Macaca fascicularis: one gene and its partner. The protein of the gene in region 2 purifies or fractionates together with the protein of the main gene of each other region. This does not show direct contact. Links are inferred from orthologs where the notes say so. Each region holds a gene or a part of one and is shown on either strand. Other genes may lie near its edges.

Region 1 (4,359 bases), on a different chromosome or scaffold from region 2:
ATTTTTCACTACCTCACATTGGCAGAAAAAAGCCAGTTGCTCTTAATGAAGTAATTAAAAAATTGTTATTTTATTAAATTTTGACCCTCGAGTACACACGTTTAATTTTCTTTGTGACAAAATCAAAGTATTCATAAGACACTTTTGCTGCATCTTGAAATGCAATGGCTGCCTTAAGGAAAAGCATTTGTGTGACTGAGTTGCAAGCTGAACTAGACATTGTTTTTAAGAAGCATCACCATTTTACCTGAATGACTAACAAACTGGTTATTCAGACATGGCTATCTGACAAACATTTTCTCAAACTTGAGCCCAGTTTTGCCTATCACTTCCAAAATGAGAGATTTCAAGTGAAAATTGAGATTTTGGAAAACGTATATTCTCTACTGTGAACCTAACGGCTTTCCAATGCTTAGACTGATTAATTAGTGGTAATACTAACTGAGTTTTTTTGGTATTGTACTATAAAATGCTCCAACATTTGTAAGACCCGCAAACTCATCTAAAGAATACTTTCCAAATAACGCAAGATGTTACCAATCGTTCATGAGTAAAAGATCCAAAGTATAAAACAGAACAGAGTTTTAATGTAAGAGCACCCCAAATTTAATTTAATCATATGGTTTAAGATTCCATTTGGCAACTTTTTTTTTTTTTTTTTTTGAGATAGAGTCTCACTCTGTCACCCAGGCTAGAGTGCAGTGGCATAATCTCAGCTCACTGCAACCTCAGCCTCCCGGTTTCAAGCGATTCTCCTGCCTCAGCCTCCCGAGTAGCTGGGATTACAGGCACCCACCACCATGCCCAGCTAATTTTTGTATTTTTAGTAGAGATGGGGTTTCGCCATGTTGGCCAGGCTGGGCTCGAACTCCTGATCTCTTGATATGCCTGCCTCGGCCTCCCAAAGTGCTGGGCTTACAGATGTGAGCCACTGCGCCCTGCCCACAACTAACTTTTAAGAAGGGTTAGTTTATTACTTGTTGAGCTTTGTTATACTAAAGCATAACACTCTCAATGATCTAAAAAGGTTATTAAGTACTCGTCTTAACCATGTATCTGTCAGAGGCTATATTTTCTTCAAATACTTCAACCAAACCAAAAGAGAACAACAGATTAAAAGCAGAAACAGCTATGAGAATTCAGCTGTCTTCTATTAATATTTTGCCAGACATTAAAGAGATCTGCAAATTGAAAACAATGCTACTCTTTCTTTTTTTGTGCAATATTTTTCACAAAAATCTTACTTATCCTTACATGTAATAGATTTTTTAAGTGAATTAATAAATTTTATTTTTAGTATGGTAAATACTGATAGGTATAACCTACTGAAGCAAAAGCTCTTTGGAATCCTTAATCATTTCTAACAGTCTAAAGGAGGTCCAAATCCCTAAAAGTTTGAGAAACACTATTCTAGAAGGCAAGAGAAAAAGCAACTCCTTACTTCAACGTTCATCTACAAAGTTTCACCAGAAAACAAATATAAAAGGTCATGAAAACTTTAGACAAATAGAAGGTCACAAGAAAGACCAAGAAATCACGAAGATCACAAACCTGGAGGACATTATGTTACCTAAAATAAGACAGGCAGAGAGAGACAAACACCACATGACCTCGCATATGTAATCTAAAAAAGTGGAAATCAGAAGTCACAGAAGCAGAGAGTCCAGCAGTGGTTAGCAGGGACTGGGATTGAGAGTAGTTGGGGAGATACTGGTCAAAGGGCACAACATTTTAATTAGACAAGACGAATTCTATTTTACAACACGGTGACTAAAGTTAACAACAACGCATTGCATATTTGAAAATTACTGAGAGTAGATATTAAGTGTTCTCATCACAAAAAAAGTAAGTACCTAAGGCAATGCAAATGTTAATTAGCTCCATTTAGTCACTGTAGACACATTTCAAACATCATGTTGTATGCCATAAGTATATACAATTTTTACTTCTCAATAAATTAATAAAAATCACTTTAATGAGAATAAAAAATAGTAGGAAGATTTTGGATCTCAAGACTAACCAAAAACCGTATTCCTCATTAAGCTACAATTCAAACTCAGAGCAGCACATTTTATGTAAACAACTTTATGCTGCCTTACATCTGTATTTAAGAACTCAAAGGTACTTCAAAATGACACTATATTTAACACCATTACTGGTACAATCTACAGTGACATGAATCTCTATCATGCTTCTTTGTGTTGTATATATTATTTTTAATAGTTGTTGCAAATAACTGGTGAAAAAAGAAAACAAGCAAAGGGGAATGTTCCAAAACCTAGATTCTTGTATTATTCTGGCTAAATGTTTTCAAGAAAGATAAGTTGGGCAAGTGTCTAAAAGGTACATATAACTTCTGCCTACTTAATAGTATTTGAAATTATTGAATTCTGTTGTGACAATTTAGGTTCTTCATAAACCTTGTGTTAGTTATAACTGGTGGAGTCATCTGATGGTGAAAACGAAGAGCCTCCCAACTGTACAGGATTGTTTTATCTCCCCCAAGGAGTCCAAAAGGTAGATGCAGGCAGCGGGCGAGTGCTCGAGCTGTTTTCTCGCTCACTACCTTCAGGACTTGGACTTAGCACGGCTGATGATCGGCAGCAAGTTACAGAACCCCCGGAGAAAGATCCAGAGACCCCGCGGCCCCTTCCCGCCCTGTGCCGTCACCTCCTTTCTTCCCCGCGTCACCCTGACGCGGGGGTTCGTCCGCGCGGGGAGCCGCTTCCTTGGCGCGCCGGGAGCTCGCCCAGACCCGGCCCCGGCCACGAGGGCCCCGAACCCGGTGAGGCCGTCCTGCCACCCGCGCGCGGCCTCCTCCAGAGGGCGGCCCTTCCTCCGCAGAACCTGGGGCCGCAACTTCTCTCGGCACCCCAGGCTCAGCAGGCGACTCCTCGGCGCCATCGCTGTCGCTGGAATTGGCAGCGCGCTGCCGAAAAGTCCTTTTCGGCCTGTGAGCCATGGCCGAGACCCAAGGGCCCGGAGCCCTATGACCCGGTGAACCCCAAGCCAGAGCTTCAGTGCCCGCCCCCAGCGCGCGCGCCCGCCTCTCCTGGTTGCCGAGTGCGCGCGCCCGTCCGCCAGCCTTCTACTACCCGCTTCTCTGTCTGCGCCTGCGTGATTTGCCTTCTTGGCTGTGGTTGGCCGAATTCTGTTCTGGGGTCTGGGTCTGTAGAGGCAAAGCGTTCCTTTTGCCAATTTAGGTTGCGTGGACTGACATCTAGAGATTTCCACGGCCTCTCTGGGCTGAGTCCCACGGAGAGCAGAACTCACGTGCTCTCCTTGTGAATTAGGCTTTATGCTCTCCGTCCTGGACTGGAGCCAGATCCGTTGTCTTTTATTTTCCGGAGAAAGAGCCCCCTCCAACCAAGATGTAAAACAAACGAAACCCCAGTAGTGTGAGGCTCGGGGTAGAAGGAGACGCCTCTGAGAGAAAAACAGTAAAGTCTGTACATAAACAATGCATACAGACTAGCAAAAATCAAACGACTACTCTCAGGCAACAGAACTTCACGAGAAGTCCTGGTTAGTCCTGGTTAAATGCTTTCACCCTTAAGGAAAGTATCTAAAAACAAAAAAAGGCTATTGTCTGAGGCAAATTTGTACTATATTCATTAAGCTCTGTCTACAGAAAGGAAGCCTGCACCATAAATTTTGAGTGATTGATCGTTTTGGTAAAACCTATTGTTATTTGGGTGCCTCTGACTGTCTACATCTAGAGCAATTCATCCAGTTCATTTAATTCATCTTGCTGCAGTTGGTTCCGTGCTCAACGACGTTTCTGCCTCTGCTTTAGAGAACAAAGCTTTCTAAGGGCTTCACAGAAGTGGATATTTTAAGGGATTAAATCTCCAGACTCTCAGCTTTGTTAAATGAAAACCGTAAACAAATTAAACAGAGTTTAATTAAGCAAATCACACGCCCCCTAAACTAGACTAGGTTCAGAGAGGCTTTAAGCGTAGCCAGCCACCTAGTGGAAGATTTATGGATGGAAAAACAAAAGTGAGGTACAGAAAACAGAACTAAATATGTGTTAGAAGGACTCTGTACTTCTATATCTGAGTCCTCGTGGAGGAACGTTAACCTAACTTAACAGTGTGAATTCCAAAATTTTGAGACAGTTCTCAACTAATTTAGAAAGTTTATTTTGCCAAGGTTAATGACACACGCCCGTGACACAGCCTCAGGAAGTCCTGATGACATGTGACCAAGGTAGTTGGGGCACAGCTTCGGTTTATACATTTTAGGGAGACATGAGACATCAATCAATATATGTAAGATGTACGTTGGTTCCGTCCAGAAAGGTGGGGACAACTTAAGCAGGGAGGGGGCTTCCAGGTCACAGGAAGGTGAGAGACA
Region 2 (4,337 bases):
CTGAAACCACAGAGGGAGCACCCTGCTTCCCCACTGACCTCAAGGCCAGGGCCAGCCCCAGACCCTCCCGCAGGCTGCAGACTTGGCCTGTGGCAGCCCCTGCCCCAGGGGTAGGTGGGCACTGCTGGCTTCTGGGCCTTCTGAGAAGGGGCAGCCTCCACAGCCATTGTGGACAGTGGCCAGTCCCTCTGGCCAAGGAGCATTGAACATTGTACACACAGCGATCCCCATGTTTCCCAAACCACTAATAGTCACAAGGAGGGCTCAGGTGTGCCAGACAACCTTCAGGAGCAGGTGACACAAGGGTCAGGGATGTTGACCCTCAGAGTGAGAAAAACTCTTCTTAGGAATTCTCCCTCCACTTTTCCCTTTTCTTTTTTTTTTAATTCCTTTAAAGAGACAGGGTCTTGGCTAGATGTAGGGGCTCACGCCTGTAATCCCAGCACTTTGAGAGGTTGAGGTAGGTGGATTGCTTAAGCCCAGGAGTTCAAGACTAGCCTAGACAACATAGTGAGACCTCATGTTACAAAATATCAAAAACTGAGGTAGGAGGATCACTTAAGCCAGGGAGGTTGAGGCGGCAATGAGCCTTGATTCCACCACTGCACTCCAGCCCGGGTGATGGGAGTGAGACCCTGTCTCAATAAATAAATAAACAAATAAATAAATGTGAGACAAGGTCTTGCTCTGTAGCCCAGGCTGGAGTGCAGTGGCACAACCATAGCTCACTACAAGCTCGAACTTCTGGGCTCAAGTGATCCTCCTGCCTCAGCATTTCAAGTAGCTAGGACTATCCCAGCCAAGTTTTTTTATTTTTATTTTGTAGAGACAGGGTCTTGCTATGTTGTCCAAGCTTGTCTCAAACTCCTGGCCTCAAGTGATCCCCTAGCCTTGGCCTCCCAGAGTGCTGGGATTACAGGCATCAGCCACTGCACCCAGCCTCCCTCCACCTTCTGATGATATCACAGGAGGCTCAGTGAGGCATGGCCTCGCAACACCTGCCTGTGCTTTGCTCATCTTCCGTTCAAACCACCAATCAGTCTCACAGCCTGCAGGCAATAGTAACCAGCCTGGATTAAATTATACTGTTGTTTTCATTCCATTTATTTTTTTTACCATGACCTATTTATGGCAAGTGAAACTGCCTTTTCCCATTTTGATGACATAATGTTTCCTTTTAAAACAAGTTTAAGTGAATTTCCCAGCTAAATCAGGCCCCTTGATTACAAACCACAGTTAAAATGATGTGCTCTTTGAAGCATCATTTTGCTTAGGGGGATGAGCCCTAAAGGTGGGGAGCCTGGAGCTCTGAATTCCAAATCCAACTCCGCCTCTTAGTCACTGTGTGACTGTGTGCACGTTTCCTAATCTTTCTGGGCCCCAATTTCCCCCATCTGTAATCAAGGGAGGTGCAGTGGAGGTGCTCTACCTCCTGACTCTCTGAATCTTAGGGAATGGACTCCTCCAAGCTTCACCTTCCCTGTGCCCATCAGTAATCAGCTGCCTTTCCACTAGGCCTCTTGGGCAGAAGCGGGACTTAGGTCCACAGCATGGGGAGCCAAGGAGAGTCTGAGCCAGGGACATCATATCATGCTTAGGAATCTGTTAAAAAAATCCTTTTGGGCGGAAGCGTGGTTGGAAGGCAGTCCGAGGGCTGAAACTGAAGATGGGAGAGCCTGAGGCTTATGTTGGGGATGAGGACGGAGAGGACAGGTGGGTTAGAGGAAGCAGATGATAGTCCAAGGGGGGCCTTCCATACCTTTTAGGAAATTGATCACTTTGCCCCATTTTCCGGCATCAAAGGGATGCAGCTTCTCCAGGCCCATGAAGGTGATGTTGTAGCGCGGCGAGTACACGATTGGCCAGCGTGTCTCTGGCACATGCTGGTACAGCTGGGTTGTGTGTAGCCTACCGTGTGGAAAAGGACAGACGCACAGCTGGGACAGCCTCAGCAGAAAGCAGCTCCCTCCCGAGCCCGCCTGTACTGACCCACCAGCCTTTGTCCAGCACCACTAGCCCCTCAGCCACAGACAAGGGCCGCTCAACAACAGCTGCTTACACTGGTTGTCTTTTCCTGAACCCAATTCCGGTCCTCACAGCAGCCCTGGGGGTAGGCACCACAATCGCACCAGAGGCTTAGAGAGCAGACCAGGTGTGCCCAAGGTCACAGTGCAGGTCTGTGGAGAAGCGGGCGTGCACTCAGGTGTGCCTGGCTGCAAGGCCTCCGCGCATCACCTCTGCACTGTAATAACTGCCCCCACAGCTGTGTGGCACAAGGCTTCGGCTGCAAAATGTGTGGCTGTTGTGAGGACTCAGAGAATGCAGCTGAGGAGCCAAGCACAGCAAGCGCTCAGAAACGCAAATCGGGACCCAACCGGAGCCAGGGCGGGGGTCAGGGGTCCCCTGGCCCCGCTGCGCGGCTGACCCTTCCCATCACACCCTGGCAGTCGTCACTCAGAGACAGAAATCCGCCCCCGTGGCTGCCTCCGTGGGGGCGTCCGCGCAGCCAGGGGGCTGGGCAGCGCAGACGTCAGACCCGCGCACGTCGCCCGACCGCTCCGGGTCTGGGCCCGGGCCCGCGGCCGGCGCGCGTCCCTTGGACCACCGAACAGGGGCGCGGGGCTGGTCTGGCGCGCCGAGAGGGCCTGGAAGTACCCGTCCCGAGCGTCCCTCACCCGCAAATCTAGGCCTTCACCTGGCGCGCCCGCCCGGCCGTCCCCGCCCTTGCCCTAGCGCGCCCGCCCACCGGGACCCCTGGGAGCCCCTGGGGTTGGCCAGGGAGTCCCACCCCCGCCCTCACCCCGCGGCACTCACATCCCGGGGCCGGCCCTCCCAGCGCTGGCCGCGGCTCCGCGACCGGGCGGGGCGGGGCGGGGCGCGGGTGGGACCAGCCCAGGACACGCCCCCGGGCTTAGTCGCGTCCTCTGGGGGCGGAGCTCTGGCCGACTTGGCCCGCCCCGCCAGTATCGGCGTCACAGAGGGCCCGCCCGCCAGGAGGCCACCCCCAACGCCCATCAAGCCCGAAGTCCCGCCTCCGCAGGCAAATACCCGGTGGAATCCCGCCTGGCTTGGAAGCTCCGCCCCCTGGCGGGAGGGCCGCGCGGGTTTCACACCGGTGTCGCGGAAGGGGCGCGATCACCCTAGGTCCTGTTCCAGCGCTCCCCAAGCTGGGCAGAAACAGCGAGAGGCTGAGGGTTAGAAACGCTAGGTTCCCGGCGGGCTGTGCCGGGGCTTCGCTGTGTGACCTTGGGCTGGCGTCCGCGCTCTCTGGGCCCTTGTTTCCGCGGGTTAAACGTAGGGGCGAGGGAGTTTCTCTGGCCCTGCCGCCTGTGACCTAAGGAGCCCCGTGACCTCTCCGACCCGAGCCCACCCCCGGCCCAGTCTGCAGGAGCTCCGGGACAAGCACTTCCGGCGAAGGCATGTAGGCTCCCAGAGCCTGTGTTTCCCTCTGTAGAGCAGGCCTAATTACCGTCTTCAGGGTGCACGCGTCTTCGTCCCCGACCCGCACCCCCACCGCCGGGAGAAGCTGAGCCAGGCCAGAGGAACAGCTGGGGGTGTCCGCGGGGCTGCAACCCAGGAGGAGGCCCCAACAATGGAGCCCCAGAGGACAGAGACAATGGGCTTCTCTGTCGGCCCAGCTGTCCCCGCCAACCAAACAGAAGCAGCTGACGAAGGACTGCCGGGCTGGGATCCCTCGGCTCCGCAGGGGCGGCTGTGTGCCAGGGCGGGGCACAAGGGAAGCGCACAGACGTTTGAAGAGTGGCCCCCATGTGCCTGCCGTGGTTGCATGATGGCATTTGAGCCTCACAACCTAATCCTGATAGAGGTGACATCATCACTCCAACTTTATCATGAGGGAACTGAGGTTCGGGCCTGGGTTAAACCCAGACTCGGCCACCCGTCAGCATAGTGGCTTTGGGCAGTTTGCTTCAGCCTTCTGGTCCTTCATGTCTGCATCTGAAAATGAAGTACTGGGCTGGGTGTGGTAGCTCACGCCTGTATTCCCAGCACTTTGGGAGGCCGAGACCAGTGGATCACCTGAGGTCAGGAGTTCGAGACCAGCCTGACCAACATGGCGAAACCCTGTCTCTACTAAAAATACAAAAAATTAGCTGGGCGTGATGAAGTGCGCCTACAATCGCAGCTACTCGGGAGGCTGGGGCAGGTGAATCGCTTGAACCCGGGAGGGGAGGTTGCCGTGGGGCCGTGCCATTGCAATCCAGCCTGGGCCACAAGAGTGAGACGCTGTCTCAAAAAAAAGGAAGAAAATTGCAATTCATTCTCTGGATTTCATGGGCAAGTCCAGAGAATTAAGAGAAAATAATGTTGATTATTAT

What was found.
Region 1: the proteins of HDAC11 (region 2) and GCFC2 purify together in Homo sapiens (co-immunoprecipitation; 3 studies listed by BioGRID and IntAct, counting the BioPlex papers as one, with this or other methods). This does not show direct contact. The link is inferred for Macaca fascicularis from reciprocal best matches to the Homo sapiens genes HDAC11 and GCFC2.

Annotation. Positions count from the first base shown.
Region 1 is NC_088387.1:46,159,286-46,163,644, reverse strand, and holds the start of GCFC2 (intron Large complex component GCFC2), read right to left. Parts: upstream 3,033-4,359; 5' UTR 2,963-3,032; coding exon 2,671-2,962; intron 1-2,670.
Region 2 is NC_088376.1:151,785,291-151,789,627, reverse strand, and holds the start of HDAC11 (histone deacetylase 11), read right to left. Parts: upstream 2,863-4,337; 5' UTR 2,817-2,862; coding exon 2,815-2,816; exon of another isoform or gene 2,676-2,814; intron 2,178-2,675; exon of another isoform or gene 2,060-2,177; intron 1,909-2,059; coding exon 1,760-1,908; intron 1-1,759. UniProt on the Homo sapiens protein: Responsible for the deacetylation of lysine residues on the N-terminal part of the core histones (H2A, H2B, H3 and H4).